Nothobranchius furzeri: one gene and its partner. The protein of the gene in region 1 purifies or fractionates together with the protein of each later gene. This does not show direct contact. Links are inferred from orthologs where the notes say so. Each region holds a gene or a part of one and is shown on either strand. Other genes may lie near its edges.

What was found.
Region 2: the proteins of BTB/POZ domain-containing protein 1 (region 1) and cops6 purify together in Homo sapiens (affinity purification with mass spectrometry; 3 studies listed by BioGRID and IntAct, counting the BioPlex papers as one, with this or other methods). This does not show direct contact. The link is inferred for Nothobranchius furzeri from reciprocal best matches to the Homo sapiens genes BTBD1 and COPS6.

The regions. Positions count from the first base shown.
Region 1 is NC_091749.1:41,446,938-41,451,400, forward strand, and holds the start of BTB/POZ domain-containing protein 1, read left to right. Parts: upstream 1-1,616; 5' UTR 1,617-1,768; coding exon 1,769-2,181; intron 2,182-3,236; coding exon 3,237-3,393; intron 3,394-4,463. Other genes in the region: transmembrane 6 superfamily member 1, read right to left, coding at 1-36, 111-208, 339-442, 589-680.
Region 2 is NC_091741.1:79,983,603-79,987,370, reverse strand, and holds the end of cops6 (COP9 signalosome complex subunit 6), read left to right. Parts: intron 1-536; coding exon 537-599; intron 600-675; coding exon 676-723; intron 724-814; coding exon 815-929; intron 930-1,615; coding exon 1,616-1,708; intron 1,709-2,035; coding exon 2,036-2,136; intron 2,137-2,542; coding exon 2,543-2,683; 3' UTR 2,684-2,947; downstream 2,948-3,768. Other genes in the region: and3 (actinodin3), read right to left, coding at 3,533-3,768. UniProt on the Homo sapiens protein: Component of the COP9 signalosome complex (CSN), a complex involved in various cellular and developmental processes.

The DNA of each region.
Region 1 (4,463 bases):
CATATGACCATGCGCTGTATTAATGTGTGGATCTCCCTGGAGTCGAAGTAGATCTATTAGAAACATATTTGCTGGGACAATTTTAGGCCTAACACACAATTAACACTTGCCTCTTTTAGGTAAAAAGTCACAAATCCATCAATGATGTTGTCCTGCTCCAGTCCAATGATCAGGTTCACAACACTGAGGAAAGCATAAACTGCATACACTGCATACAAATGCATGCACACTTTTAGGTTTTCTCTTACATTCATGACGTTTTTTTTTTTTTTACTTGATACCAAAAAGATGTAGCTTGTTTTGGACAGAAACTTGTGTTTCAAATAGAAAATTCCTACCATAGAAAAGTGGATCAACTGGAGCTTTCTTCTTGAGCATAAAACGGACTGAAATAGCCAGAATCACAACTGCCGTGCTCCCAGCAAAGAGAAAAGCTTCAGCACTGGATGCAACATAAGAACACCATGTTTTTCTACCCAATGGGCTAAAAATAATCAAGAAATGTTTGGCTACATCTAATAATATTTGTTTGTATCACCACAGAAAGTTAAATTTACAACATGAAAAAAATTGTTTACAAGCACTTACCTGTTGTTGTAAACTAGAGAGTTGAATAAATAGCAGAAGGGTATGGACATCAGGGACAGCATGAACACCCCTGTCCCAGCAGAAGCGCTCATTGCTGCCCAGTGGGGTCGAGCTTAAGACGGTGAAGAATTTAGAATAAATTGACTCCTGATTTAGTTTGTGTCATAATTTAGGGGATGTTTGGAGAGTGCTGGAGCAGCAGGCATGCTCGGTTCGTCCGTCTGGTCTGTCTGGATTAATGAATCTACTTTTAACCCTCTGGAGGCAGGCGTTGCAGGTTTGCAACAGTTAAAACTACCTACCTGGTTACTCCACATACGTATTTCAGGAGCATTTTTTTTAACTCATATGTGAAGGACTTACTTGTTCGTCCATTTATCAAAACTTATTTTGAGCCTGAGAGGATTAACTTCCTCCCAACGCGCGCGCACAGCTGCTCACATTCATGAGCAGACAAGAATGTTCCAGATTTTCTTTATTACACTGTCTAGCCAAATAGCCTAAGTGACAATTAAACTCAATATTTTTAATGTTTTGGTTTTGACAAAGATATTCAAGTAAAACAAACTCCTTACATCTAGAGGGCAAATGGAAAAACTGAAACTGGGTGCAGAAAGATAATTTGGAGCATGAAGCTGCTTCAATAAATTAAATAAATATATTTTGAAATAATAATAATAAATAAACTTTACAGAGAGAGAGAGAGAGAGAGAGAGAGAGAGAGAGAGAGAGAGATTGTGTCTAAAAGAAAAAATATGACTATGTGCAGCATCCCATATCATATCTCTCTTTTTTTCTAACTTGTTCTTTGCATTCTTAATTTTGCGCTGACCTCTTATACCAAATCAAAGAGTGTTACTGGTTCTAAGCATAGACTGTACATACGGTTCTAAGAAAGTTTTCTAGTTTTTACTTGGTTTCAAGGACAAAAACTGCAATGGCCATCTAAAGTCAAAGGGTGGCGGTAGTGCAACTAAAGGCTTACAGACTGCCGTAAAACACCAAAGAAGAAGAAGTGTTTCGAGGAAGTACGTTTGGGTTTTGTTAGCAAGCCGCAGCTGTAGCCTCGTGATGGATAATACGTAAATAAATAATGATGCACCCATGCGGTCGATTCCCGGTCATGTAACAAAAGCGGGATTTTTTGTACTAACATTTGTATATTAGTTTGTGTGTTGTAATGGCCAGCGGGAGTGGTAGCGGATTGGCGTCAAACCAAAACAGCCAAGAGGCTGCATCAAACTCGTCTCAGTGTGGAGCCGTGGCGTCGTTGTCTAACATACCAGTGTCCGCTCCCGGACCGTCCGCCTCCCCGCCTGTCCTCGGCCTTCACCGGGAGCCCATGTACAACTGGCAGGCGACCAAGAGTTCACTGAAAGAGCGCTTCGCCTTCCTCTTCAACAACGAGCTGCTCAGCGACGTCAGGTTCATAGTGGGGAAAGGCAGACAGGCCCAGAGGATACCGGCTCATAAATTCGTCCTGGCCGCAGGCAGCGCCGTCTTTGATGCCATGTTCAACGGAGGAATGGCCACGACCTCGACTGAAATAGAGCTCCCAGATGTGGAGCCAGCAGCCTTCCTCTCCTTGCTCAGGTACTTCGGACAGGTGTATGTACTCTAAATACATGCAACTTCAGGTTGTCACACAACACTGTTCTCATTATTTTACTCAGTGGGCTTGTGGTTTTTACATTTTTAATTGTGGCAAATACTTCAATTAGAAAAACATTGCACATTTGGTGTGATACTAACATTTGCATTGTAAGAGTAGCTCATTATTTCCTTTAAATCAGTTTTTAATGGATCTGTCCAGTCGTCACACCTGATCAGTCAGTGGAATAAAGAGTTATGATGGTCAGTCATTTAATATGGACTCAAGTTATTCAGCACAAAACCCTAACTCAAGGGATGAACTGGTGTTGCATCCTTTCATAACAAGAACTAGCTTGTTACAAAGACACGTCTTTGTGTGGCTTTAATTAGAGAGCCACACAAATAAAATCCTTTTGGATGTGTTTTTAAATGTTTTATTATTATTATTAATTCTCTAAGGACATCTTTCAAGTTTTTATTGAAGTTCTATTAAAAAATATCTCAAAAACCTCATTTAAGGTTTCTTCCTGTTAAAAGGGAGTTTTCCTTAGTATGAGGATTGCTGTAAAGTCACTGACATCGGTCAGTGACTTGATGCAATTTGCTGGGTTCCTTTTATAGGAAACTTTTTACTGATTGGCTTAATGAACTGACCTCTATGGGAATGTTTATTGTGTGAAGTGCCTTGAGACAACTCTTGTCGTGATTTGGCGCTATATAAATAAACTTGAATTGAATTTATTTAAAATCACTTTGCTGAGGTAATCAATGAACACAAAAAACTGTTTTTGTCACAGGTTGCTAGTGACAAAGCAACCCAATGATTTCAATGTATTTCATTTTCCATTAATATAAACGGAAAAGGAAATTGAAATGTCTTCAAATGGTTTAAAAGGAAATAAAACCATCAAGTTTTTAAATAGCAGTGTTTAAAGAAGTGATATGTGATTTGGGGTGGGGTTTTTTCCAGAGTATTTTAACTGTGTGGGAGTTTATAGTGTTATATAAGTGCTGGCTAAACATCCCAAAATGTAACTATGTTCCTTCTTATGTAGGTTCCTGTATTCTGACGAGGTCCACATTGGTCCGGAGACGGTGATGACGACTCTGTATACAGCCAAGAAATATGCCCTCCCTGCCCTGGAGAGCCACTGTGTGGAGTTCCTCACTAAACACCTCAGAGCTGACAACGCCTTCATGCTTCTCACTCAGGTTACCGTCTCGCCTGCATAATTCAGCTTTTACGACGACAATACTGGGCACCTCCAGTTGCTATGTGACAATTGATTTTAAATACTAATTCAATTTATTTAAAGGTGAAACTTGACAAAAGCACCTTTTGCCACTGAAGGGTTAGTTTGTATGCCCTCAGATCTTCCTGTGAGCAGTTTCTCCTTCATAAATGCTCTTGTTGAAATTCATGATAATAAAAAAGCAAGAGAATTATTCAAAAGAAGAAACAAAGAGTTGTTATCAGCATGTTCTGTTCTCGGGCAGAGTACTAGAAGCTGTTATGTGATAAAACGTGCCAAAAAGTCAGTGTTGCACATTTTATCAGCTGGGATCCACATAACCGAAGCCCTTACAGATGATAAGGCTGTTTACCTTATTTTGTGTTCACAGCAGACCATCTTCCGGCTTCTGCTGGTAGGATTAGTTTAACGTTAGTTGATCTGTTATTTTTGGGCTTTTCCTTTCCACTGCTGCCTGCTTTATTCATGTGTTTCACCCTGCAAGCATAACTCAACACAAACAACTTAAAGGTCTTTTTTATAATATTTTATTTGTCAGGTTTTTAGTCAAGCCATATAAACAAACATATGTTTATAATCAAAATAAGAATAAAAATACTAAACTTAAAAATAAAAAAGACAAAAAAAAAAAAAAGAAAAAGAGGGAGAAAAAAGGAGGGGGGGGGGGGGGGGGGCTGCCAGACCACATTGTAAACAGAAAGGTTTGTAAAACCGTCACTATTAAGCACATTAATGGGCCATTCCCATCTGTACCGGGTCGACCCGGGCCGGGTAGCGTAGGTTGTTTACATTTCTGGGTGGCCTGGTATTTTTCCGGGCCAACCAAGGCTCATTCTCAGCCCTCTTGTCGAGGGGGTCTGCTTCAGGCCGACCAGGGCCAACACACCCACTGCTGACAGCAAATTCACACCTTCCATTAGAGCAAGCCTCTGATTGGTGGGTAGAATCAGCCCACATGGGCTTAAGGCAATGATGTGTGGAATCAACCGGGCCAGGCTGGGGCCGACTGGGGCTACCCGGCCCGGGCCG
Region 2 (3,768 bases), on another chromosome or scaffold:
ATCGGAGAGAGCGAGTGGGAGTGACAATGTGGAGGAGATTAGAAAGATATGGGGGAGCAGAGATTATGGATGGCTTTAAAGGCATGAAGAAGGCATGAAGTCAATTCTGTACTTGACAGGGAGCCAGTGAAGGGGTAATGTGATCAAAAGTGGAGGTCTTGGTGATTATCCGGGCAGCTGAATTTTGGACTAACTGTAACTTGTTGAGTGATTTTAGAATACAGGTCAGTTCATTAAGCCAATCAGTAAAATGTTTCCTGTATAAGGAACCTAGCAGATTGCATCAAGTCACTGACTAGTGTCAGTGACTTTACAGCAATCCTTATACTAAGCAAGCATAAAGCGACAGTGGAGAGGAAAACTCCCTTTTAACAGGAAGAAACCTCCAGAGAATCCTGGCTCAGTATAAGCAGCCATCCTCCACGACTCACTGGGGATCGAGAAGACAGAGCAGGCACACACACACACACTCATGAGTTTTGTTATTAATAAGTGTTTATAATACTTTTGTTGTATACGTGTGTGTTTGCTGCCAGGTGTGTGAGATCATTGAGAGTCCACTCTTCCTGAAGCTCAACCCAATGACCAAACACACTGACGTAAGTTTATCCTCGGTGCATCGGTGAAGCAGCAGCAATCAGACGGGTTTTAAAAAGTGTTTCCTTTCTCCTTCAGCTTCCTGTTAGTGTTTATGAATCTGTGATTGACATCATCAGTGGCGAGGTACGTCCTGCTCAGTTGAAAAACTTCTTTTCACAATAATTTTGTTCTCTACTAACATTTCTGTGTGTGGTTTTCTTTTGTTGCCACCCAGGCTACCATGTTGTTTGCTGAGCTGACTTACACTTTAGCCACAGAGGAGGCAGAGAGAATCGGTGTTGATCATGTAGCTCGAATGACAGCCACCGGCACCGGAGAAAACTCCACAGGTGAGGAGAACAAGCCAGGCCAAACAGGGATCTAATTCAGTATTTATTTATTTTGTTTGATTTGTTAGTCTGTGTTTATGACTCTGTTACTTACACCAAGTTTAGCTCAATATCTGTAAACTTCACTAAGTTACATCCATCTTCGTGTTTGCTAACGTTGATTAGCTGTGACGGCCATCTTTAATGGACTCTAAAGCTAATTTAATTGTAAATACACATCAGAGTTTCGATAAAACCCACCATGTGGGTCATGAGATGCTTTGAGAGACGAATACACACCAGCAGCTGGTTCAGAGTCAAGGCGAGTGAGGAAGAGGCAGGTTGTTAGTCACCACTCTGATGTGTCTGATGTCAAAGTCCCATTAGTTGTCACACACACAGGTGTGTGTGCGACATTTGTTCTCCGCATTTGACCCATCCCCTGGGGGGAGCGGTGAGCAGTAGACACAGCCGCGCTCGGGAACTATTTGGTGGTTTAACCCCCCAATCCAACCCCTTAATGCTGAGTCTCAAGCAGGGAGGCATTGGGTCCCATTTTTTCAAAGTCTTTGGTATGACCCGACCGGGAATCGAACCCTGATCTCCCAGTCTCAGGGCGGACACTCTACCACTCGGCCACTGAGAAAGGTTATTCTAACTGACTGTGTTTGTTTTTAATGTGTTTATTGTTCTCTTTCCTCTGTCAGTGGCTGAACACCTTATAGCTCAGCACAGCGCAATAAAGATGCTCCACAGCCGAGTGAAGATAATTCTAGAATACGTCAAAGCCGTCGAGGCAGGTGAGAGACACGTTTATGAGGCTCCGAGGGGAAAAATGTCTCAATACATCAGTTAAGCAGCTGTTCTCACTAGGTTCTTCCCCTCTTGTCTTCACACACACACACACACACACACACACACACACACACACACACACACACACACACACACACACACACACACACACACACACACACACACACACACACACACACACACACGTACAAGCCCTTTTGTAAATAAACATGATCCCAACACATTATTATATGCTTTTTAAGTTATTTTTCCTGTGTGTGCATGCATGTGTGTGTGTGCATGTGATGCGTGTGTGTTTGTGTGTGTAACAGGAGAGGTGCCGTTTAACCACGAGATCCTTCGTGAAGCTAACGCCCTCTGCCACAGACTGCCGGTCCTCAGCACCATAAAGTTCAAAACGGATTTCTATGACGTGAGTAAACTTGGTTGTAATTCAGAAATATTCATGTTTCATGACTAGATTTTTAGGTTTTTTAGAAAAAGCGCAAAGATTTAGTTAATGAACACCTATTTATGAGTTTTAAAATGAACACTGAGCTAAATGTTGATGTAGAAAGAGTACAGGAGAGCACGGAAATTATTAGAAGCTATTTATTCCTATAATAGAGAAAAATGAGCCTAAACCTGGGTAAAGCTCAAAGCAGCAGGGCAAACATGGGGCTGTCGTTGTGTTTATTTAATGTGAGTAAGAAAAAGAGATTTTCAGGTTTGTTTTCTACCATCTAAACATGACGCTGGCTGTTTGTGAGCAAAATATCAACATTTATGTAAGCAAAAGTCCAGATTTGATATGTTCCTATTTCCCCTTGATCCTGCAGCAATGTAATGACGTGGGCCTCATGGCCTACTTAGGCACCATCACCAAGACTTGCAACAGTATGAACCAGTTCATCAACAAGTTCAACGTCCTGTACGACCGGCAGGGCATCGGCCGAAGGATGAGAGGACTTTTCTTTTGAGCTGAGAGACAAAAACGCACCAACTCCTCCACCTTCTTCTTTGTTTTTTTGTTTGGTTGTATTTTGATGAGCTAAAAGAAACTCTTACGCAGCTTTCCCCCACAAAGTTCAACAGCGAGTGTATCTCAGAGCACACGATTCAATAGTCAATCCATACAAACTCTTTTAACTCTCTGGGTCACTGTACATGGACTTGATCTAATTTTACTCCGTTTGTTTTACTGTTTCTGTAATAAATGATCTTGTTTTTTTTTTTTCATGGAACCTCGTGTCTGTTGTTTGAATGCATTAATAAGAAAACACACATGGTGGTAATAACACAGCTGCAGGTTTAAAGGAGCTCATGAAAGCTTCGCTACGTGGAGCTGCAGCTCTAGCAGCTTTAGTGTTTGTTGCTAACTCATCGTTTTGTTGTGTTTTTGAACTCGTCCTCCTGCTGCGTGATTTTTGCCCGTGGAGGTTTTGAGACAGACATGCATGTGTGGCAGGAAAAATGAGGTTCAGAGCTTCCAACGGAGTCAGCAATTACTGGAGTGTTTAATGCAAAGCAGCAGCGGATGTAATGACCTGTGAGTTGGAACTTTACGAGTCCCAACTTAAACCCGAGAGGATCCAACCCTTTGGGTCTCCTCTTGCATTTTTCATTAAGTCAAAAACTCCACTGATTTCACTCATCTTTTTTTTTTATTGGCTCACAACTTAAACATAATTTGCACATCAGTGAATCAGGTGATGATAAATACAGTCAGGTGTGTTTTTATTCACAACTCATCAAAGCTGCTTCCTTTACAGAGACACTGAACCCCTGGACGGGTGTTTTGAGTCAGTTCGTTTCATCTAAAGAGACGTTCACTTGCCCCCCTCTGCAGGCCCCTCGGGGGCGTCGGCCGGTTGTGGGTACTGGAAGCGGGCCGGGTCGTACAGATCATCTCTGGGGTCGTAGGGGTGAGCATAATAGTAAGGGTGAGGGAAAAAGGTTAGTTTTTTCTCCATGGGGGCAGGAGGTGCAGGTGGTTCCTCCACAGGTTCCTCCTCTTCCTCCTCTTCAGGAGGGGGTGGTGGCGGTGGGGGGACCAGGATCTTCC